Linked DNA regions of Solanum lycopersicum. The main gene of each other region encodes a partner of the protein of the gene in region 4 in a complex. Links are inferred from orthologs where the notes say so. Each region holds a gene or a part of one and is shown on either strand. Other genes may lie near its edges.

What was found.
Region 1: 50S ribosomal protein L6, chloroplastic (region 4) and large ribosomal subunit protein uL24c share a complex: the UniProt entries of both Arabidopsis thaliana proteins name them as parts of the 50S ribosomal subunit. The link is inferred for Solanum lycopersicum from reciprocal best matches to the Arabidopsis thaliana genes emb2394 and RPL24.
Region 2: 50S ribosomal protein L6, chloroplastic (region 4) and large ribosomal subunit protein uL4c share a complex: the UniProt entries of both Arabidopsis thaliana proteins name them as parts of the 50S ribosomal subunit. The link is inferred for Solanum lycopersicum from reciprocal best matches to the Arabidopsis thaliana genes emb2394 and RPL4.
Region 3: 50S ribosomal protein L6, chloroplastic (region 4) and large ribosomal subunit protein cL38 share a complex: the UniProt entries of both Arabidopsis thaliana proteins name them as parts of the 50S ribosomal subunit. The link is inferred for Solanum lycopersicum from reciprocal best matches to the Arabidopsis thaliana genes emb2394 and PSRP6.
Region 5: 50S ribosomal protein L6, chloroplastic (region 4) and large ribosomal subunit protein bL34c share a complex: the UniProt entries of both Arabidopsis thaliana proteins name them as parts of the 50S ribosomal subunit. The link is inferred for Solanum lycopersicum from reciprocal best matches to the Arabidopsis thaliana genes emb2394 and AT1G29070.
Region 6: 50S ribosomal protein L6, chloroplastic (region 4) and large ribosomal subunit protein uL5c share a complex: the UniProt entries of both Arabidopsis thaliana proteins name them as parts of the 50S ribosomal subunit. The link is inferred for Solanum lycopersicum from reciprocal best matches to the Arabidopsis thaliana genes emb2394 and AT4G01310.
Region 7: 50S ribosomal protein L6, chloroplastic (region 4) and large ribosomal subunit protein bL31c share a complex: the UniProt entries of both Arabidopsis thaliana proteins name them as parts of the 50S ribosomal subunit. The link is inferred for Solanum lycopersicum from reciprocal best matches to the Arabidopsis thaliana genes emb2394 and emb2184.

The regions. Positions count from the first base shown.
Region 1 is NC_090806.1:68,736,301-68,740,514, reverse strand, and holds large ribosomal subunit protein uL24c, read right to left. Parts: upstream 2,801-4,214; 5' UTR 2,671-2,800; coding exon 2,578-2,670; intron 1,170-2,577; coding exon 1,131-1,169; intron 821-1,130; coding exon 590-820; intron 407-589; coding exon 200-406; 3' UTR 59-199; downstream 1-58. Other genes in the region: calcium/calmodulin-regulated receptor-like kinase, read right to left, coding at 3,775-4,110. UniProt on the Arabidopsis thaliana protein: One of two assembly initiator proteins, it binds directly to the 5'-end of the 23S rRNA, where it nucleates assembly of the 50S subunit. Required for optimal plastid performance in terms of photosynthesis and growth.
Region 2 is NC_090806.1:67,227,888-67,231,266, reverse strand, and holds large ribosomal subunit protein uL4c, read right to left. Parts: upstream 2,121-3,379; 5' UTR 1,630-2,120; coding exon 801-1,629; intron 728-800; coding exon 690-727; 3' UTR 501-689; downstream 1-500. UniProt on the Arabidopsis thaliana protein: This protein binds directly and specifically to 23S rRNA. May play a role in plastid transcriptional regulation.
Region 3 is NC_090803.1:63,903,610-63,905,845, forward strand, and holds large ribosomal subunit protein cL38, read right to left. Parts: upstream 837-2,236; coding exon 501-836; downstream 1-500.
Region 4 is NC_090811.1:69,209,051-69,213,315, forward strand, and holds the start of 50S ribosomal protein L6, chloroplastic, read left to right. Parts: upstream 1-1,465; 5' UTR 1,466-1,511; coding exon 1,512-1,549; intron 1,550-2,555; coding exon 2,556-2,864; intron 2,865-4,265. UniProt on the Arabidopsis thaliana protein: This protein binds directly to 23S ribosomal RNA and is located at the aminoacyl-tRNA binding site of the peptidyltransferase center.
Region 5 is NC_090800.1:53,256,371-53,259,524, reverse strand, and holds large ribosomal subunit protein bL34c, read right to left. Parts: upstream 1,744-3,154; 5' UTR 1,617-1,743; coding exon 1,403-1,616; intron 878-1,402; coding exon 621-877; 3' UTR 501-620; downstream 1-500. UniProt on the Arabidopsis thaliana protein: This protein binds directly to 23S ribosomal RNA.
Region 6 is NC_090808.1:1,642,860-1,646,187, reverse strand, and holds large ribosomal subunit protein uL5c, read right to left. Parts: upstream 2,096-3,328; 5' UTR 1,927-2,095; coding exon 1,675-1,926; intron 1,247-1,674; coding exon 701-1,246; 3' UTR 501-700; downstream 1-500. UniProt on the Arabidopsis thaliana protein: Binds 5S rRNA, forms part of the central protuberance of the 50S subunit.
Region 7 is NC_090803.1:66,609,294-66,611,943, reverse strand, and holds large ribosomal subunit protein bL31c, read right to left. Parts: upstream 1,291-2,650; 5' UTR 1,141-1,290; coding exon 1,072-1,140; intron 988-1,071; coding exon 667-987; 3' UTR 501-666; downstream 1-500. Other genes in the region: mannan endo-1,4-beta-mannosidase 7-like, read right to left, coding at 2,435-2,650. UniProt on the Arabidopsis thaliana protein: Binds the 23S rRNA.

The DNA.
Region 1 (4,214 bases), on a different chromosome or scaffold from region 4:
ATTGTATTCGACCCATTAACCATCAAACTCTAGTACGTAATAGTACTGGCAAACAGAATTTTTGAGTAAATGTACTTTAATATAAAATCTTATGTTACTGAGTTAAAAAGGTGAAGGTGACAACAGAATCATAATATATCAATGAGAGAAGATTCAAAATTAGCAAAATCGAACTAGAATTTACAGACCAGTGGATCTCCTAGGAAGCAGCAGCTACTGCTTCTGTTGTTTTCCCCTTCTCTTTGACTGCTTTCTTCCAGTTCTCTGCACTATCGATGATTTCCCCAGTTTTAATGAGGTACCGGACTCTTTTTCCATTGTCTAAAGTTTTGTGACCAACCCGACTGGCTACCTTCTGCTCTTTTGAATAAAGCATCACGTTTGAGCTGTGAATAGGAGCTTCAATCTGAAACAATAACAACAACTACGTCTCAATCCAAACAACTTGGGGAAGTTCAATCTAAAATCTTAACACAAAGTTTTACTTTCTTGTTAGGGCAAAGATGAATTCGATGCTAGCCACGACGAAATGAAATCTCAAGATAACAATTTTTAGGCAAGATAGAGAAGAAAGAAATCGAGATAAAACCTTGACTATCTGGCCTGGTTCCTCCTCACTCCGACTCTTCACATGCTTGGTTTTCAAGTTCACCTCTTTTACTACTATTTTGCTGTTGTGCTTGATGATCTCGGTAATCTCTCCAATTTTACCTTTGTCATGGCCGGAGATTACCTTTACAGTATCACCCAGCCTTACATGCATTTTGTGTAGTACTGGAAGGCTGTTTGGCTTACATTCTTTACGCTCCCATCGCTTAAGCTGCAAAATAGACATAAAAAGAAGCTCTTATTCAATGATAAAGCTAATTCTAATCACAATTCTCATTAACTGTTGTTTCAGCTAAAAGAATATCATACCCATAAAAATTAGTACCAAAGGTTTAGCAATACAAACATTTGGTGGCCATTTTTAAAAGCTGTTGACAAGTTAGTTCGAGCACTTCCTTCATTACATCATAAGTTATAAAAGAAATGCATGACCACATTAACAGCAACCCTATAAAAGTAGTTGCCGGAAATGTCTATCTCGGACAATATACTAAAGGACCAAAATGGATCAAGATACCAACCTTTGCTGTAATCAAACATGGACCTTCTGCTGATTTAACCTGCACGGCATTATATGGAGATTGTCATTAAAGTGGCAAAAGATTATCCAGTTTTACAGTTGACACAATAAAAAGTGACAAACTGCGTAAGGCGTGATATACATCCAAAAAGTGTTAACCGAATAACAAGCAAGTGCATTTTCTGGAGACAGATCTTATTCCATATTTGCTTCCAATAACTTCTGATTATACAGGTAACTATAATATGAGAACGATTTATTATCGAGGAACACAGAGGCATATGTATAATATGGGTTCAGCAGCACCCAGTAGCTTTAACTCAGACCCTATATATGTATTAAAAAATTGATAAATATGTCCAAATATTAAAATTTCGAACCTTAAGTCAAATACAGGGTTCATCCTATGTTAGAACTTGGAAGACATCAATCACAACAGAGGGGGTAAGTTTAAGTTAACCAATTAGCATATTCTTAATATACTTGACTTTTTGAAGAACTTTTGAGGAACTACTGTATCAAATTGTAGATGTCTTTATATATAAAATTATTCTCTTGCAGCTAGAAATACACTGTGTTTGGTATGTAGTTCCAACTTTCCTGTGTTACGAAAATATTTTCTTTAGGAAAACAAGTTCAAGTTCAAAATAAAGAAAATGACTTCCGTAGTGGAAGTAAGAAAAACAAGATGGATAAGTAGCATTTCAAGTTATCATCACCCAATCCCTCCAACTCCCACTTCTTGACCATATCACGTCCGTCCATCCCCGAATCCCCACTCCCCATCCCATCTCGCCTCCATAGTATTTTGTTGGATATATAACATATAAATGCTCTTGGAATAATATTATCTAGCTTAGTTACCATATAAACACTAGAAAATTAGTAAGTTCCACATTTGTTTTCTAGGTAAACATTTTCCTTCGTACCAAACACGCAGTCAAAACTTATAATAGCGAAAAAACATATGATATGAGAAAGGACTCAGGTAGCAATGGTGACCAAGCAGAGAAAAAGTTCACAATATATTGTAATCAAATAATATAAAATTAATTTATAATCAATAGTACAATGGAAATGGATACCTTTGTTCCTATGATCCCTAATACATAGAAATCAAATTATTCAAACAAAGACCTTTCACAAAGACAATTGAAATTGAGATAAACAGATAGGATATAGCCTAGTGGTCAATGCAGTGGTGAACAACTACGATTTATTGGTTCAAATCACAATACACTAGTTTATTTCTTCGCATTTATGTAAGACTGGATGGAGAAAGTTACTTGCAACACAATTCAATTCTGGCTAGAGGTAGCAGGTATTCTACGTAATTAGTCGAGTTGTGAGCAAGCTGGACCGAATGATACAGTTGTAGAAACAAAACAATTAACATTTGAGATAGTTCAGTTTGAAAACCAGATAGTTGAAGTTATGAGAAAGCATACCAGAGGAAGGGAGAGAGGAGGAGAGAAGCGTTGGCCGAAGAAGGAGGTGGAGGAGATGGAGAGACCAGTAAAGGAGCTCTGCAGAGCCGCCATTGTTCAAAACCTTCTGCAAAATCCTTTTGTTGAAGGAAGAAACAACACTGAGCTGAGTATTTGGATAGGATAATAAAAACCAGAACCTTCGTCTTCTTCTCTCTCTATCCCTGGACACCCGATCCAACTTAATTGGACCTTCAACGGGTCGAGTACGGCCCAATTATAAAGTCCCTTTTCAGCTATTTCGGGATTGTGGATTAATTACGAAAATCTCACCTTTTAGTTTAATTATTATCATTATCCCTTATAAGTTTTACAAATTTCTAAAATTTCACAATTTTCATGCATCACATCAATTTCTATCGCGAATCATATTATTGTATCCCGCGCATCAGATTAGTGTATCATGTATAAAAATGTATCTCGCACATTAGATTAATGTATCTCGAGCATCATATAGTGTATCATGTATAAAATGTACCTCGCGCACCAGATTAGTATATCTCGCGCATCAGATTAGTGTATCATGTACCTCGCGCATCAGATTAGTGTATCATGTATAAAATGTACCTCGCGCATCAGATTAGTGTATCATATATAAAATGTACCTCACGCATCAGATTAGTGTATCTCATACATTAAATTATTGCATCTCGCGCATTAGATTAATGTATCAACGCTTGTATTATTGTATCCGTTTTGAAGATTTTTTGTAATTATAAATTTGTAAAGTATCAATTTGCCCTAATTTAAGAAGGGAAAAATGATCAAGTTTTAATGTTTTATAGGTTGACAAAACATATAAAAGACGAATTGAACAAATAAATATATTGAAAAAAAGTATCGGGGGATTAAAAAATAAAAAAAGCTTGGTTCTTTTTTAATAAAATTAGATTGAATAGGATACTAATGTAGAAGAAGTGGAAAAGCCTGATCTGGGATTTTCCCCGTTTTCTACCATTCATTAACCTTCCACGCAAATTTACAAAAACTTAGAACAAAATTGGGAACAAAGGCTATCATACACTCAGACTATAACATACCCCTAAGTATCCCAAACGAACTCACCAAGACAAAAGTGTGTTTTTGTAAATAAGAAACCTAACAACCTGACCAATTTTACAAGATGAAACAAAAAAATAAACAAATGGAAGAACTGAGTTAAACTTCATACGAGTCAGCTGTGCTATCTATAGATTCAACACGTCGATGTCCAGAGATTGGATTCCGATGATCTACTTGTTCAACATTGATGGTAATCTCCTCTGCTGTTGCAGATAAAGATCGCTTCTGGCGTTTTCTTTCGTGTCTAGACTTGAGTATCCTTGACAGAACCTGCACAGTGTCCCTCATGGAAGGCCGTTTCTTGGCAGCACGATTCACACATTTGTATGCAAGTGCTGCTACATCATTAAGTTCTTGCAGATCATACTTCCCATCAAGACGGGAATCTGCGATTTCCTCCCATCCGCCTTTTCCATCTGTAGTCATGGCTGCCTACAATCATCAATCCTATGGAGCTTAGTTTCTATATGACTGAATAGGCTTCAGAAACATATGCACAATAAAAGAGGTTGTAGGGGAAGAGGGGGGGGGGGGGG
Region 2 (3,379 bases), on a different chromosome or scaffold from region 4:
CAATTAGCGCTTAAACTCAAAAGTTCTAGTAAAAGCCTAGAGATACTCATATACTCTCCATCACATATTTTGATAGTACAAATGTCCAAGTTATCTGCCTCCATAGATAGTCTACTAGATATGGTCTGTTTCAAGGTTAATAATGCTTAGCATCCCATATGCCCCCAATGACTCAAAACAAAGTAAAGAGCATTTTTTCCTGCCAATTACTTTGTGTTTGTATTAAAGAAAAAGGTGATGAAGCTTTTTCCACCCAAATAAAGGTTTCCTTTTCTTAACTTTGCTTAATTGCTTCAAGCCTAAGACTCAAACACAAAGCTTTCCTAATCATTTTACTTTGCTGAATCTCGCCTGGCTGACAACTTGTAACCCATAAATCTTATATAAAGCTTCATCTACTAAGCAATTAATGTAGTTTTGCCAGAACACAAGACTTAATTAGTAAAGTAACTAATCACTCTTATCATAAAAATCAAGAACTCAAAGTGGTAATGAGAGCGGAACGAAAATCAAGAGTAAACTATTCCAACGAAGGTAATGGACAAATGCAGTCAGTGACATGAAATCAACCAAAATCACCTAGTTTTATCATACAATAAAATACAATTCAAAGTGAAATATACTAAGCTCCCTGTAAGGTAAAGCCTCCTCTAAAATGGAACAGACCCTTTTCGCCCCATGTTCATATATTACTCAGAACTTTCAGCACTCTCCTCCACCTCGCCACCTGAATGCAGCAAATTAACGAGTTAGCTAAAATTGAAAGGAAACTTCATACCCAAAATGAAGCAAAAACTAACCATCTTCTTCTTCCTCGTCCACCACCTCCCAGTCATCATCATCATCATCATCATTTCCGTATCGTTCATTCAAGAACTCCACAGCTGATTTAGTGAAAACCAGCTTCTCAGAATCCAATATGTCGAAAAGATTCAAAGTTCTGGGTGTCAACATCTTCAATGTGCTAATGTTTCTGCTGGAGAGAATCACATTGTCTGAAACTTCCGTCATCAAAAACAAAGATTTCTCTTTTGGGTCCAATCCCCATCTTCTCATCAAATCAATGAACTCCTTAGTCTTCGGTTTCTCAAACTTATCATCAAACTCTTCCACAACAATGGCATTCTGTGTAGCACTCGAAAGCGCAGTAGAAATCGCGAGTCTCTTTTCCTTTTTGTTAATCTTAACTGACCAATCCTTAGGTTTCGGCCCAAACACAACCCCACCACCTGGTCGTAAAGGAGTTCGGTTCGACCCACGTCGAGCTCGACCCGTTTTCTTTTGTGGGTATGGTTTGATACCACCACCCCGTACTTGGGCTCGGGTAAGGGTGGAAGCAGTACCGCGACGTTGGTTGCGCAGGTCAGTGGTAAGCCCACGATGAACGACGGCGCGTGCGGTATCAAGAGGGGCGGATTTTAAGTTGAGAGTGGTGGAGCCCACTTCGGTACCATCAAAGGACAGAATTGGAATAGTGGCGGCGGCGGCCTCTGAACGGATGGAGAATTGTTGTTGTTTGGGTTTGAAAATGAGTTGTTTCTGCTGCTGCTGCTTTGAGGAGTGAAGGGTGTTGGAGTTAGAGAAGAAAATGGTGGAAGAAAAGAAAGATAAAGAAGAAGAAGTAGCCATTTTTGCAGTGAAGGAGCAAACTGCAAGCCTATGGATTGGGTTATCCACAAATGAGGAAGAAGGATATCAAAATGTATTCATATTCTTTGTTCAAATAAATTTAGTGAAAATGGAAAAGTCATATATACCCTCAAAGTATTTGAAATTGAGCACATATTTGATAAATTTAGGGACATATTTGCGGAAACATGCGCTCCCTGCGGGTAATAACAAGAGAGTGAATCCTCCAAACTCAAAGAGTGATTGAGTCCGTCTCAAGCGAGTGAGTGAAAGGCGTGGCAAGAGAGCGAGTTCGACTTGCGAACGATCAGCAAGTGAAGGACCGATCCTTTTGCGCCAATGAACTCTTCAACTTTACGACGTAACAGACTCTCTAGCTTTACGAGATAGTGATAAGGTCTACAAATATTCTATTCTTTCTATGCTTATCGTTGTCAGAGTATATTTGATAATTTTTTCACTTATGAATCAACAAATGAGGTTAATCAAATGTTTCATTTAGACTAATAACACATTCAAAATGATAAGGTCATATATAAGCCAAACTATTGACGAAGAGTTGAAGGGCATGTCTATTTAATTTACAATACTTTAAGAACATAATTAAATCTTCTTTTGTGTAGGAAAAAAAATAAATTTTTTAGAGCGTAAGCGACAAATAAAATTTTTATGAAATGTGCTCTTTATTTTTATTAATTTTGATATAATATAAAAGTTATACAATTTTCTTGATCAAGTCTTTTGTTAGTTGGGGCTACACCATCATAAGCCCAAAACCTTCATTTTCTTTTATTTTGAGGCGCTATTGATGCAGCCTGCTACATATTGCCTTCCCTTTCCAATTTTTCCATGATACGCTAAGCCCAACTCGTATGTTGAATTCGGTTAAGAAAACAAACCTTGAATCTAATCTAACTGTAACATCGTAGCTAGCTCAAGAGGAAATAATTGTTCAAGATTATTTATGCTTATCAATCAATTTAAGACTCAACGCTCCTTTGCACGTTCATGGTCAGATATCATGAATGTAAGCAATATAAAATGGAGACCTAATATTAAATGATAATGAAGTGAGATGGACGTAACTTCAATACCATATTAGATTTAACTCAATTCAAAAGATAAATCGAGGAGATATGATTGTTCAAGAGTATATAAAGAAATCAATTTCTCCTCGTTCCACTTATGTTGAAACTTAACAAACTCAATTAAATTTTGAACTAATAATTTCAAATGTACCATAAAAATAGGTTCTGCAGCTTACATCCTAAAATTAGGTAAGCTATGCTTATTCCACATTGAATTAAAAGCAACAGAAAGTTCATAGGTCTTTAGTAAAAAGAATTTATACTAATATGGGATTTACAATTGCCATGAAAAACGTCTTAATCAATACTCCTATCTCAATGACTATCTATAAGTACTCCTTCATCCTTAATTAGAGATTTCAGATTTGAATCTTTCAAAGTACAAAGTCACCTTTACGAGGAAACAATGAATCCCTCAGTACTAATGTGAATCCAGATTAGTTGAGCTCCAATATGAATATCAGACATCAGGCGCATAAAGCATAGATTCACAAGATTCTTCCCAAGAAAACTCCCTACATGCACCAACAAAGTTAGTGAAATCTTCAACTCCATTTTGATCATAGTAACAATCCTTGAACCAAATATTCATATCATCATCATCACTAGGAGTTGAAGAATCCATGTCTGAATCAATCCAACAATATTCAAGTTCACCAAGA
Region 3 (2,236 bases), on a different chromosome or scaffold from region 4:
TCTGGAGGGCAAATAATTGGGTTTCATACTTTGTAAATATGCCATTTACAGTAGGAACATAAAATGTACATTGTTGGCTCGTCTAATCTACTGGATAGTTTGGTTTTGATCGGAATGGTTGTTGCGACATAGTTCAAAGGATTCCGATGTTGAATGAGCGAGTATATTGCCTTAATGCAAATACAAACATAGCTACTGTTTTCTCATTCATTGTTTTTAGTACGAGACCCCTCTCCCCGATCACATTTGATATTTGCTTTACATAATATATAATTTTGCTATTTTATTATACGGAACCGATATTCGAAGGATATTGTTTATTATCTCACAAGCTACGGCATTATCCAGTGGCATTGAATAGATTAAAAAGTAAAGCGTAAAACATTCATTTCAAATCACTTATTGCGCCAAAACTGCAATTGAACAAGTTGCAAATTTCCCCAAAGTATCAGACGGAAAACACCATTATACAAAAGCCGAAATGATAAGTTACAGAAAAATTACTCAGATTTGGCGTCGGACTCTGAAGCTCCGGCGGCAGCGGGTTGACCCGATTCATCACTGGCAAAGGACCACTCCGATGGTAAGGGAGGTAACGGAGCATAAACAGCTGGTCCACGTCGAATATCCCAAGCTTGAGTCTTCCGTGGACGTGTCTTCTTATGGTGAGCTGTAGCCTTCTTCTGTGGCCTAGATGAGCACTCAATTACCAATCCCCCGATACTTGTGGGTGCCGACGCCAACCTGGTGGCTCCGCCGGTGAATCCGGTCGCTGAAACAGTTGAGGAACGCGGCAACACCGCCATCTGCAACCCGAATATGGCGGAGGCTGACATTTTCTTTTTTCTTCTCTTCAAAGGTTTTTCCTTCTTCTGGCTGTGTTTAATGGAACCTTTGAAGTGGATTGCCTTCGTTATCTTCTGGTGACTTCAGTTTCTGCTAAGGTTACGACACCGTTTGGCATTTGGGCCTTAAAGCCCTTTTGGGTTATTTGAGTGTTGGATGTAGTAGAACAACAATTGGTCTGGCCCAAATAAATCTGTGGGATCATTTACACTTTTGCTTCTATTTAGTGTTGGTCTTTAATTTATGTATAGTTTATATTTTTGTATAATAATAACTTACCATTTATGTTCATATATTAAGTCTGAAAACTAAACGTAACTTCACAATCGATAGGAGCGATGGACGGTGTGTATAAAGGGCAGAGACGGAGAAATTCTTAGTTAGAGACCCAAAGGTCATTGTGATTAAAGAATAGTTTATGAAATTTTAGTACATAAGTGAATATAATTTAGAGTCAAAAGTACACGGCCTAATTGAGTTCAAATGAGTAATAATCTTATAAGATCATGGGACACAATTCCTCAACTTGTGTCTGTATGTTTGGTAATGTTTTCAACTAGTCATAATTATTTTAATCTTTCTCTGATATTATATGATTTAATATAAAAGTTATTGTATAATATATGGAGCATAGTAGTTGTATTTTGGACATAACTATGAGAAGTGAATGTTGACTATTAGTAGGTTACATGTTTAGAGGAAATGACTTTACTTCTAAAAGGTTAAATTGTTCCTTCAATTGGTGTCAAATCGTTTCATTTTCCTTCCTTTTTCGATGATATTGAAGTAAACTTCACTTGAATGGATACTTTTATTTTTTCATTACCATAATAACACTTTTTTGTTATTAGTTGCTTATTTAGGCACAACTTGAGTTCACGTGTACCTATTACTCTTTCCTTGCTATAATATATATGTGTAAAATCACCCCACTCCAGAAGGATTAATAGTGTTTTTTATCCATCAAACGTGAACTCAATCACTTGATGTTGAAGGCGACTCAATCAATTATTACATGACAATCAAACACCGTGAAAAAGATACTTGAAAATAAGTAGGTCATACAAAATACACCTGAGTATGATTCTTACACATAAAAGAACAAACATATACGTCTCTTTGCATCTACTGTTAGCCTTGTGAGTAATATTATAGGCCAGTCTATCCCATTTGTAGTCCGTGACCTTTATTGTTCCCCCACTTATATGAATCATCAAGATTAATGGATTGACCAACTTCATCTGCACTAATCAGCCCAAAACATCCTATAGCCGAGTAAAAATGAGTTGGTTACCTCTAGCATTTTGGCAATTAGTGCTTTGTTTTATTGGAAAAAGAGTTAAATTGCATATTTTTATAACTCTGGTGTCCGATCCAGTATCATGTACCC
Region 4 (4,265 bases):
CGCGGTCATAAAAAATAAATGCATTTAACTTGCAAATATTTTTATACTAATATCCATACATTAAAATCATAGAAGAATAAGTTCTTAAAAAATTATTAGCAATACTGCAACATAAATTTAATTTTATTTGTCATTATTAGATAACTCAAAAACCTCCAATTAATGAATTATTCACGATATAATAAATCATTGGTTCATTAATCAATATTGAAAGACAATAAAGAAGAAGATATTAGGTAAGCTTATATATAGTACTTCTAAAATTTAATATAGAATATCAAAATATGAATTTTCGGAACTAAATACAATAATTTTTTTTGATAATAAATATACATACAATATGTGTATATGTTCAATATAACCGGAGAAAATAAGTTAACATAAACATAAAAATAATGTTTAAAATATGTACTCAAAAACAACAATTAATAACATGAGTATAAATTAATGAGCGTAAAAAAACATACCAGGATATGTATAAATACCATTAAATATAAAGGAAAAAATCGAGTCAATTGAATGCACAATGTCCCATTAAAAAATCTATTCCCCTCCAATATAAGAGGTTTTAAAGAACTACATCCTCTCAGGATGAAATGATTCTATTCACCAACTTATTGATAAAATAATGGGGGTGTTAATAAGTCACTCAAAATGAGCAAAGTACAAAAATATTTAATTTTACGGATGTAGAAGAGTATCAGAATTTTTGTTGTTTTAAAATGAGAGGAAATTTTTGTATTTATAGACAATAAAGGTTAGCGTGAACAAATTCTTATTGTGCCTTATCGGAAAGGTTACAACTATTTGAAATAGTTGCAACCCTTCGGAAAGGTCACCACTTTTCATTAAAGTTGCAACTTTTCATAAAAGTCACACTTTTGATAAAAGTAACAACTCTTCATTAAAATCAAAACTTTTGATAAAAGTCACAACTTTTCATTAAAGTCACAATTTTTCTAAAAAGTTACAACTGTTTTAATAAAATTCGCAATTCTTCGTTAAAGTCGCAACTGTAATTTTCATAAAAGTCACATGTTTTCAAGCAAGATGAAGGCTAATTTTGGAAATAATTAAATTTAAAAGGCAATTCTTTCTTGTGGTGCTGCCATGTAGGCGGGCAGAGATTCTCTTTTATATAAATATATGATATTCTTTTCTTGTGAACACGAATACTAATTTGACTCTTATTTTGAGACTCTATGATTAATTTACGTAATACGAAATAGATAAAAATCTACATCCCGATCTAACATACATCTTATGACTTCATTTAGATTCAGTAACTTTAACTCGAATCATATGTGTATCAAAGAATTTACCGATATCAAGAGGGGGCAAAAGAGAAACTTTGTAACATAGAGGGGGAAATTGTTATTTAGTTGAAATAGGATAAGGGGTGAAATTGTCAATACTCTTTAATGTGCAAGGCAAAAAGGGCTCTATCCACTATACAAGATAGTTCAGCTCTTAAGAGACTCAGTCTTGTAGCTTGCAGGCAAAATTCAAAAATGAGTAGCTCTTCACTCACAGCTTCTTTACATGCCAGGTAAATTTAGCTTCTTGAATCTGTTGTTAACACTATGAAGCTTGTTGCTTTTTACATTTTCATGTCGATTCTAGAATTAATGAAATTGGGTATTTGCACATTTGTTGTTTCATTGTCAATTTTATGCAATTTTGTGTCTTTTTAGCTTCTGGGGTTTCCTTATTATACGATAAAAATTATAGCTTTTGTGTGTTGTGGGTAAGGAACTTAATTGTTCTGCTCCCTTTTTCATACTGGGTGCATTTAGCTTGTTGATTTTTACACTTTCATGTTGATTCTTAAATTGTTGAAATTGGGTATTGTGCATTTGTAATTTCTTGCTCAATTTATGCAATTTTGTGTCTTTTAGCTTCTGGGGTCTCCTCATTATACAATAAAGTTTGTAGCTTTTGTGTATTGAGGGTAAGGAACTTAATTGTTCTGCTCCCCTTCACATATTAGGTGCATATAGCTTGTTGATTTTTACACTTTCATGTTGATTCTTGAATTGTTGAAATTGGTATTGTGCATTTATAGTTTCTTGCTCAATTATGCAATTTTGTGTCTTTGAGCTTGTGGGTTTCCTTATTATACAATAAAGTTTGTAGCTTTTGTGTGTTCTGGGTAAGAACTTAATTATTCTGCTACCCTTCTCACTCACTGTTTCTATACATATTAGGTGCATTTAGCTTGTTGAGTTTTACTTTTTCATTTTGATTCTTGAATTGTTGAAATTGGGTATTTTGCACATTTGTAGTTTATTGGTCAGTTTGTGTCAAATTTATGCAATTTTGTGTCTTTCAGATTCTGGGGTATCCTTATTTGAAGAATAAAGCTTTAGCCAGTATAGAGGGTGTCGGGGCTTAGCATGTTTTCTTGTAAAAATAAAAACTTTGATCTTGTTTTATCTATTTAAGGTCTCCATTTGTTGAGAGGTTTGAATGGGATTCATATCTTGAGTGTGGCTGTTATTGGTGTTGGCTTTCTTGTAAAACATATCTGTTATTCTTGTTTTATTTCATGTCAGCACTTTGCGGTCTCCTTTTGTTGGGAGTTTGAATGGGTTTCATGTATCGAGTGTTGCTGTTCGCCGTGTTGGTTTTGTGAGTAAGACGGTCGAATGTAAAGAATCAAGAATCGGGAAGCAACCAATATCAGTACCTTCAAATGTGACACTCACAATGGAAGGCCAAGATTTGAAAGTTAAGGGACCTCTGGGGGAGATGGCCATAACTTATCCACGAGAAGTAAAGCTTGAGAAGGAAGATGGAGGTATTCTAAGGGTCAGAAAAGCCATGGAGACAAGACGCGCTAATCAGATGCATGGTTTATTCAGGTAGTCTGCAGTTTAATTGTGCTGTTTTCTCGACTTCTTTTCTCGGTTTTATTCTTAGATATGGTAAACATTCTAAGTTATAATTTACCTATTACTACTACGTATGATCAAGAAGCTATAATCTACTTACTGGAGTAATTACTTTGAAATTCACGACTGGTTTTGATGTGGACTAGTGATGACTTAGTTCTTCTGACATAAAATTTAAGATTTAAAGGGTCTAATTGATCTTCTCCAATTATATGATATCATATTTTATAACCAAATTGAGATGTTTCCCAGTCCTAGTCCTAATTGATTTTATCCTAGTTGTTAATGAAGAGGAAAGGATAATTTTTTCCTCTTAATAAGGTAAAGAAGGGCAGTCATTTCTTACCACCTTGAAGTTTTCTGTTCTTTTTAGTACTTCTAAGTTTCAAAAATAGTGAACCTCTTTGTGGTTCTAAACTTTACTTATTTGATCTTAACTATTGATATATATTACTTGCTGTAGCCTCTTGCCAATGGTTACCTAATAAATTGATATAATCGAATGCTTCTTTTGCTATGAGGGGACTCGAAAATATGGAAGAAAACGTGGACATTAGTCACTGTAAGTAGCAAAAGAAGTATGTTGCTCGGGAATCACCAAAAATGTTATTGCATTTGTGTTGGATCCTCAAAAGTTCACTACTTTTGGAGGGTCTGACCTGCACTCGGCAGCATTTTGAAGAGTCCGAGCAACATAAAAGCAGTACATAGTTCTCAGTCTTGACATGTTAAAGAAACGATCTTTTGTCCGAGCAACATAAAAGCAGTACATAGTTCTCAGTCTTGACATGTTAAAGAAATGATCTTTCTCACTATGAGAAGATTGACTGGCAACAAAGTTCAAATGTAGCAGATCCTTAGTTCCATGACAGAATTAATGATTCTAAGGTCATGAGAAGTGATAAATTAGGCAGAAGAGGGAATATAGACGTAAGAACAGCTAGGACTTCTAGCAAAGGACATATATCAGTGCTAGTCGTAGTGTTTCTAGGCTAAAAGGTATCACAATTAGGGGGTGGTGAGAAAGATCTATAATATCTGGATGCTAATAAGCCATTTGCAAGTCTCAAAAGCCACAAGTGCATATACTACACTTTGGTCAAGGGGAAAATGGAAAAAAATGGATACGGTTAAAGTTTTCAATGTAAACAACAGATTTGAAGAGGAAAACCCCAACTTTAAAAGAAGGAAGAGAAAGTAGAAATAATTAAAAAATCTATGTTTTTGAGTTTAGACACGCACTTCAATTGGTTCTTTCATATTAAAACTCCTTATACTCTCCAACGGCTAGTTAACGACTACTTTAACTTAGGGAAGATCATAACTAATCAGATAAAAACAAGGGAAACTTCCTTTTGAGACATACTCACA
Region 5 (3,154 bases), on a different chromosome or scaffold from region 4:
GACAGGTCGGTTTCTGGTTCGGTTGGGGCACATTTCTAAATTGTATTTCAACTTACACATGCCAACAGCCGGATGATCCTGCAGCATACTAGTAAAATCCTCAGTTACGAAGCAAAATTTAGTAACACAAATGCAATTCTGAAATTTCCAAATAACTGCAGTTACAATCCAAGCTCACCCAACATGTGAAGAATGATTTGTGAGAACAATATAGCACCCTTACATAAGGGCCTTGTTCGATCGATGTCCATAAAACACCTCAACATGTCAGTCTCATATTCCCCTCTTTGGTGGAGCAACTTTCTTATAATACTTTCTCCAATGACAAATGGAAAACAAAAGAAAACATTAGACCTCTGAAAAAGCCCTATGATGAATCAGACAAATGAAAACCTGCTGAGTCTACAAATTTCTCAGGGTCGATTTGTTGACCAGACTCATGAACAAGATCAGAAGGAGAAAGCAAAAACCAATCAATGAAAGAGTGGACAATACAAAAATATGGAAACTAGTAAATTAGTTCTTTAAATAAAACAGATGAAAATTACAGCAGCCCAAAATTCTGAAAAAGATAGTTAACATATTACCAACAAAAATCAGTTGCAAGAAAACAATAAACATTAAGCTCGTTTTCCAGTTCTAGGTGAAGACTTTGGGCAGAGATCCCATCGGCCTTTTGCACGTCTTCGCTGGATAGTTGCTCTGCCACTGGTGGTGCTCATACGCTTGCGAAAACCATGTGTTCGAGCCAACGACTTCCTCGACCTATTCCTCTTAGTCTGACAAAGAGCATACTTCTTTGCCTGCACCACCAGGCCACGCCTTTTAGTGGTGCTCACTCCAATGTTGGAATTGAAGCCAATGCCAAATGATGAACCTACACCACATATTAAACCATTAGCTCGCTACTATTCATCATGCCAATTTAATATGAAATTGATCATATGTCTTTTGGACCTTAAAGGTCTCCTCTTTGTTGAAACTTTTTTGGTTCAATTGTTTTATAATCTAGCTTTAACCAATGGATTTTGACTATAAAATCAGAAATACGATTCACTTTTTTTCAATAGCACAGCAATGTCAGACCACAAATAGACACTACAAATTTGTGTTATATGGAATACTAAACATCAGAATGAAGAATTGCAACCTACTCTTGTCTCCCCCTTGTACCTTCAAAGAGTGTATATAATTTAACAGGACTCAAGATACACACAAGCGAATAATTGCCTATTAAGGAGTTCTCAAAAGAAGCAATTCAAATGAAAATACTACCTGCCTAAAACAGGAATCAATAAACAACCCCACATTACCAATTCAAATAACAACTGAAATCTCTAATTCACATTTTCAATTTCCACATCAAAATTGAAAAGGAAGATAGAGAATTTATGGAACTTACCAGAAAAGGATGTTGAAGAAGATAATGTAGAGAGTGCAGAGGAAGGAAGAAAAGAGCAGTGAAGCAACCCAGAATGAGTAGAGGCATTAGCAGCCATTTTCAAAGAAACAGAAGTAGTCGTTGTTGAAGAACCAGTACGTAGAGAAAGCGAAGCGGATGGTCTGTGGTTTCCTATTCCTGAACATACCCAACTTCCCATTGACAAAGAAGCCATTTTTTCTCTCTTTCAAAACTCTCCCTCTTACTCTTCTGTCTATCTATAAGAGGTTTTGATGCCTTATCTGCAATCCAAGGGACTCTTTAGGTAATCCGAAAAGATAAACGGGTTAAAGATGGATTTAGAGAGGGTTTGACACAGTAAAACACTTTTATTTAAAGTGGAAAGGGTAAAAATATTTTTCAATTTTATTTATTGATTTACTATGTCTTTTACCTTAAAAGGAAATTATTTTTACTCTTGTCGTTACTAATTTTCATCATTTATGCCCCTCAATTGGATGAAAATTCCAAATTTACTAAAATTATCCAATTTCATCATTTTGACCCAAATTCAAGAGCCTTTTGGGGAAAGAGATCCCAAGAGTGTAGATCTTTCATACCTTAGGATTACTTAGTGTTTGATGGATAAAATTTGAAGTATTTAAGTCCTACTCAAGCTTTGAATTGTTCTTCAATGGGGTCTTGCAATAGAGAGAGAAAGAAGAGAGAAGTTGGAGAGGATTTGAGTTTGGGAATTGTGGGGTGTTAGGTTAGTTTAATGAGGCTTAGGTATTATATAGTCCTTCAACTAACTTAATTAACCACCCCCTAACCCTTAATTAATTAACTAACTAACTAACTGATCAAATCCCCAACTTAAAAACTTGACAGCAAAACAAACCCAGTCGACGACTCCTCGACCTATGCCTTGTAGTCCCATCAACGGCCCCGTGCTGCTGGTCGTTGTTTGGGACAGAGACTTGATTTTTGGAGCATCCAGGCCAATTGAATAAGTGTCAACCTATGAGGCCATCTACGGAGCGTCGATCAAACGACGACTCCTCGCTTGGCTCGTGGTTGTACACTGTCAATTGACAACTTTTGGGTCCAAATGGAAGGGTCCTCCTCAAGGACCCCTAGGGTGGCCCTTGGGGAGTCGTACCTGTACATTTCAACCCTAAATACTCTCTTCTATATATGTAACGCCTTTTTACCAACTTTCATTAAATTACGACTCTTAAACCTCTATGCAACATGCCAAGGCACACGAGTGCATATTTCACAATCATCGAACGTCATGGTCATTTCTTGACATTTGACTCTAACACTTCCTAAATACTTTAAATATAGTATTTCAGGTAAATAAACAGTTTTTGAAGTGTTGGTTCATTATATGAATCTCTAGATTAGGTCATGGACTTTCGAAGTGTTACATTATCCCCCTTTAGGAACATTCGTCCCCGAATGACAGTAAAAATCTTTTGTAGGGGAAATTAGGAGACTCAATACTAGCAGCCCAACCAGAAACATATAAACAACATGAGTTAAAAATTAAAGGTGTAATTCACAAGTCCATTCAACACACAAACATGGAATTTGACAAATAGGAATAACCGAACCACGTCTACAAAATGCCAGTACCATGCAGCTGCTTCAAAGCCAACGTGATGCTCCTTGGTCATCTATAGCAACTCAAATCACAATTTACCACATATAAGAGCTCAACATCACAACATGAGGAACTACCTTCTCAATATTAATATGAGCTCAACA
Region 6 (3,328 bases), on a different chromosome or scaffold from region 4:
CCAAATCAAATGACATAGAACCTGAAACCACTAAAAAGCACATTCATACACACTTTGAAAGAAAAAACTCTGTACAATTTGAGCAGAATAAAATGAAGCCAAGGGAATAAAGATTCAGCAACATGGTATATACTATAAATAACTGTGACTTTCTAATATGCGAATATAAATAAACCTTAGAGGAAGAAAGGAGAAAGGTGGGGGATCAGGGAGTAGAAATAAGTATGGGACTCCACAGCCTCACACACATCAAGTGTTAAGCATTAGGACAAATTTAGAAAACGTAAATAAGATATCGCCCGCAAATACTCCTTATCACATACGATAAAAGATAAAAGCAGAGATGTTAACTCACCTAAATGTGAATATGGTGGAGCTAACAAGAGAAACTCTTTGCCTGAAATCAAAGTAAATGGCAGACGAGAAAAGGGAGCGGGTAGGAAATATTTAATAACATACAAATTACAGTAATCAAGATTCATGAATAGTAAAAACTTAACTAGAGATAAAAACAATTCTTATTTTTTTTTTTTTAGAGGAAGAAAACGTAAATAACATATATTCGAGACATCACCAGCCAGATGGTAAAAGTGCAATTACAGATTTTTCTATTCAAATTGTACGCCAAAAACAACTGATAAACCACAAAACAGTTAAAAAACAACAAATCAACTCATTATCCCTGGAGATTGGATCCACCTCATCTCCTAGACCTTTGCTTCGCCTTCGAGTCAAAATGGTGAGCTCTAAGCTTTTTCTTTTTCGTAAAAGTTGTCTGTCCACCAGAACCTTCTCTAAATGGCATACCCATGAGAGCCAACAATCTGTGTGCCTCTTTATCTGTCTCAGCTGTTGTTGTTATGCAAACATCCATCCCTCTTGGCTTACCAAGAGCATCATAACTTAACTCTGGGAAGACACTCTGTTCACGAAAGCCAATGCTATAATTTCCATGACCATCAAAGCTATTGGGGTTTACGCCTTGAAAGTCCCTCGTTCGAGGAAGCCCCAAATTAATTAACCGGTCAAGGAACGAATACATTACATTCCCTCGAAGTGTAACAGCAATTCCAAGCGGTTGACCTTCTCTAATTTTGAAAGTAGCAATAGCATTCTTAGCCCTAGTCTTCACAGGCCTTTGCCCTGTAATTAAGGCCAAATCATTCATTGCTGCATCCAAACCCTTGGAATTTTGTGCAGCATCTCCTATACCACAATTTACCACAATCTTTTCGACCTTCGGAACCTAAAACACGGTTTTTCCACATTCCGTATCAAATCAAATTAAAACTAAAAAATAATAATAGAGTTTGAAGCAATAGGTCAATGCAACTAATATTCACTGTGATTTCTCACTCCTCAAATGATAATAGTGTCAAACAAACTAATTTCTCAGCATTTCAACTCTAAAATTCAACATTTAATCAAACAAACAAGAAACAGTTCAAATTTGTAGATATAAGTTGTAAAATTTGAAGCTAAAGAAGTACATATGCTTTGAAATTGAAATTAACTTGAAAAGTATAATTGAAAATTGAATTTGTGTTTGAACCTGCACTAAGCTTTTTTAAAAACTGAAAAATTTGTTCAATTCCCCCATTTTCCCTTTCCCAAGCCCTAATTTTTATCTGTTCTGGAAAAAAAATGCAATGGACAAACGACTCCTAAGTTTACCTGAAGAATATTGGTGTAACTGAATTCTTCCTTCAACAACGGCACAATCTTTTCGAGGTAATTTGTTTTCAGACGATTAACTTTTTCAGCTTCACTTTTATCCACTAGTACTGTTGCTGAAGCTTTCACCGTCAATTTATTGGACGACCGGACCTTGGTATTTCCGACCGGCAATCGAACGGAGTACGCCGGAAACTCAGCATTGTAGAAAGAGGAGGCCGTGGAGTGTAGAAGAAGAGGAGAAGCCGCCATTTTCTCTGAGCTTTTTCTCTCTGTGTGTGAAAAATAAAAGGGTAATTGGATAAGATGTTCTTTGTGGATATAACAGAGTTCTCTCTACTAAATTTTAATTTGTGAATGTTTAAGTAAAAAAAATTCGGATCCATTTCGCCATAGATTTTTCAAGTAAAATTTTTTACGTGAACATCAAAATAATGATGTAATATTCAGTAAATAAGAAAATGACGATATGATTATTGATAAAAGTGACGAACAATATGTTTCGTCTACTTCATAATGTATGCAATGATGCTTGTTGCACTATCTCTGAATTACCATATTGCTTCAGTGACATGGACACTAATTGTTACGATAGTGAATCTTTTTATTCTATTTTGTTATGCAATACAAACTTATAGTTAGTTTTGATAACTTTTAAAACTTATTAGTATACATTTCTTAAAAAAAGTGAAATATGTTTCCAAAAATTAAGCCAAACATATGATGAAATTTATGGTTAAATGTTAGCTTAAGTTTTGGGCTAAAAATTATTGAATGAAGATCGTATCAAATCAGGAAAATTGTATATAATAGCAAACTGTTAATTTAAATTAAATGTTATAAATATACTTTGATTTAATTGTACCCTATAGCAAACTATTGCTATTTCCGCCACTCTCCCTGGTGGAATCTCGCTCGCCACTCTCGTTTTGTGACAGTCTCACTCACCTCTCTCGTTTTTTATACAAACACAATTGTATAAAATGTGTTTGCGTTTGTATAAAGTGAGAGAAAATTGTATAGATACATATAGTTTTGTTCACCTATCTCAAATCTCACTCACCACTCTCCCGAATCTCCCTCGCCTCTCTCGCTTATTCAAACAGAAACGAAATGTATAAATTGCATTTCTGTTTGTATAAAGCGAGAGAAAATTGTATATACACATGTAAATACATATATCTTCGTCCTATACACTTGTAATTATACAAAACAAATATTCTCCTGCTCAGTTTTCTTTTGTCTTTCTCTTTTTCTCGTTTTATACATACACAAATGGCAGATTATACAATTTATCTTTTGTATACAACTGCTTTCTTTTGTATATGTATAGTGAATTATACAACTGCTTTCTTTGTATATGTATATAGGGAATTATGCATATTTATATTTGTCACCGAGCGCAAGTATACAAACTTTGCTATATCATACAAATATAAATTTTGTATTTGTTATATATGAAATTTACTATATCAAATTTTATTGGCCCAACAAAAATTTTTACCAAGAAAATATTGGGGTCTATTAGACTGGAATGAGGTAGGCCCAAGTCTAAATTGGTTTGTGGGCTGGATAATTTTTTGAAAATTTAACGTCGTAGTGGCCCATTTCATTAAATAAACCTAATCTTTATTATTTAGCCAGTTTCTTCACT
Region 7 (2,650 bases), on a different chromosome or scaffold from region 4:
AAAGCATTTTACACAGTAAACTGCAAGAATGGAAGTGCACCACAGCACCAGTACAACTAACATTAGAACGCTTGGCTAATGCAACCATACAAAAGACAAGACACCAAATCTATAACAGACTTTATTTCATCTTTACTTTGTCAAGGATTCAAGGGACGGCTGAAACCCTGAAACAATCAGCCTTTCCAATCACAGGTATAACATTACACCAAGATAGTGCAAAACGGACAAGTTTCGTTCAGTTTATCAGGTAAAGGGGTGAAAGACAACTCATTTGAAACTATTGAACGTAAACTATGATCAATGAACTACACCTGATCCAAACTGTTTTAAGTTAACACAATTTTTTTGTATCCATTCAGCTCTATTAGGCTCATTACATTCCAATAGTCGAAGCAATAATGGCAATCGAAAGCAAGACAATTCACTGGATTCAACTTAAATGCTCTACCAGCCCAACTAATTGATGAACCATATAACAACAACAGCAAATCCAAAAATTTGAAGAACAAAGACTGAATTTTTATACTTCCATTTTCAAATAATAGACTGAGTTCACAACTGAAACCATCAAAATACAAACACAAAATACACAAAACCCCTAATTCTCCAACAATTTCCCCATTTACGAAACGAACTAAGGGAATTACAAACACACAATAAAGTCTACTTCTTCTTAGTAGGTTTCTTCTTCTTAGGAGGAAGCACAATCTCTCCTTTGAGAGTTGGAATTTGCATAATCTGTGTTAACCCACTAAACTTCTTCCTGAATTTCTCTACCTGGTCAGCATCAAGAAGTAGCTGTGAACGACTACCTTGATAAAAAGGATGATTACCTGACCAAACATCAACTGTGTACTCATTCTTTGTTCCCCCAGTTGTCATCACATGCTCTCCATTACAATATACCTTAGCGTCATCGTAGAATTGCGGATGTATATCCTTCTTCCTGCAGCTCCATCGCATTTGATTGCTCCCAATTCCCATCTGCAAAATTCAATTTTTCAACAATCATATACTTTTTAAAAAAAAAAAAAAAAAGTTATGGGTATGGAGATTTTGGGGAGTTACCTTCTTGGAGGAGAATGAAGGAGGAGCGACATTTTTTTGAAGGAAAGTGTTGGAGAGAGTGAGCGCCATTGTTGGTATTTTTGCAGAAGAAGAATGAGAGATGGAGAAAAAGAGGAACGGGTTGAAGATTAGATTGCTTATCTGAGGATATTGGGCTGTATATTTGATTGGGCTCTACTTGGGCTAGTTTTGTATGATGTTACTTTTGGGCTATTACTTGAAGCCCAAGGAGTAGGTAAGGCCCATTTATGTAAATACTCTTTCAAAAATGGATTAAACTCGTTAGGGTTGTTTGGGATTAGTTATTGATTCGTTATTACTAATTTGATTTCTTGCATAAGTATTGCATATTTTTTTAAGAAAAACTTGTTTGTTGTAAAAATATCATTTACCCTAGTAGAAAAAAGGTTTGACTAATCTCAAAAGTATTTTTATTATTTTATTTTTAAGTAATCGCTGTTTTTGGGTGGGCACATGGTAAAACTCCCGCTCCTATACGTTAGTTCGCAAATCACATAGGAGAAATAATCTGCATTAGGCAAATTCGGTGCGATGAGCTCAACCCAGAATTTACTTTCGCTGGCAAGTGATTTTGAACTTAAGACCTCTAACTTAAAAGTTCCAAGTCTTAACCATCTGGAGAAATAATGCTAATAAAATATTATCTGTAGATTATTTATATTTATACTCATATCACCCACCATGTATAGAGTGTCAATTACGACTTCTTGACCATTGAATTTAATACTATCGGTCTCTCCTCTCCGAGACGTGTAACACAAATTGGCCAATTTATAAATCAAATATCCTCCTTTTTCCTTTGTATCTAGAGTTTACCAAATAGTTTTTTGTTTTTTTTTTTACATATTATTGAAAGATTAATTCAACCAGGCATGATTGATAATAACTTAGTTCGATTATAATCTTTGATAAGAATAAAGTGTTTGAATAAACAGAAGTGATGTTGTGCTTACCGCCATAAGCAAATCCAAGTTATTTATCTTGTCCTACTTTCAATTTTTGTTATCCCACACGTTGTATTGATTCATTAATCTTTTTTTTTAAAAAAAAATAATTTCTTTACTATTATATTTCTTTTTTAATATGCTTTGAAATATCTTAATTTATCAAAAATAAACTCTTCAATTTCATAAAATAAAATCATATGAAATTACACTAGATACATCGATACAATCGATGTTTTTTTTAAGGCATAATAAATCACTACTAGAATACTTCCTCTGACATACAACATGTCGAGCAGTACATTACCAAAAAAAAAAAAAAAAAAACATTATCTAACTTCTTGCTAACTTAAATTAATTCATCTCTAACATAAATTAAATCTCTCTAATTCTCATGATTAATCCTTTAATTTCCTTGCTTTCTTCCACTTCTCTATATTCTTCAACCTTGCATACATTTTTCTAATCTTATTAAGCCTTTTAGATTGCTGAATAATAATATCAGAAACAGATGAACTTTCACTCAATATAATCTCATATCCATCTTTAAATGAATCCATTCCTTCAGCCAAAACATGCCAAAACAACCCTCCTGCCGCCGCGCCGCCGCCTTT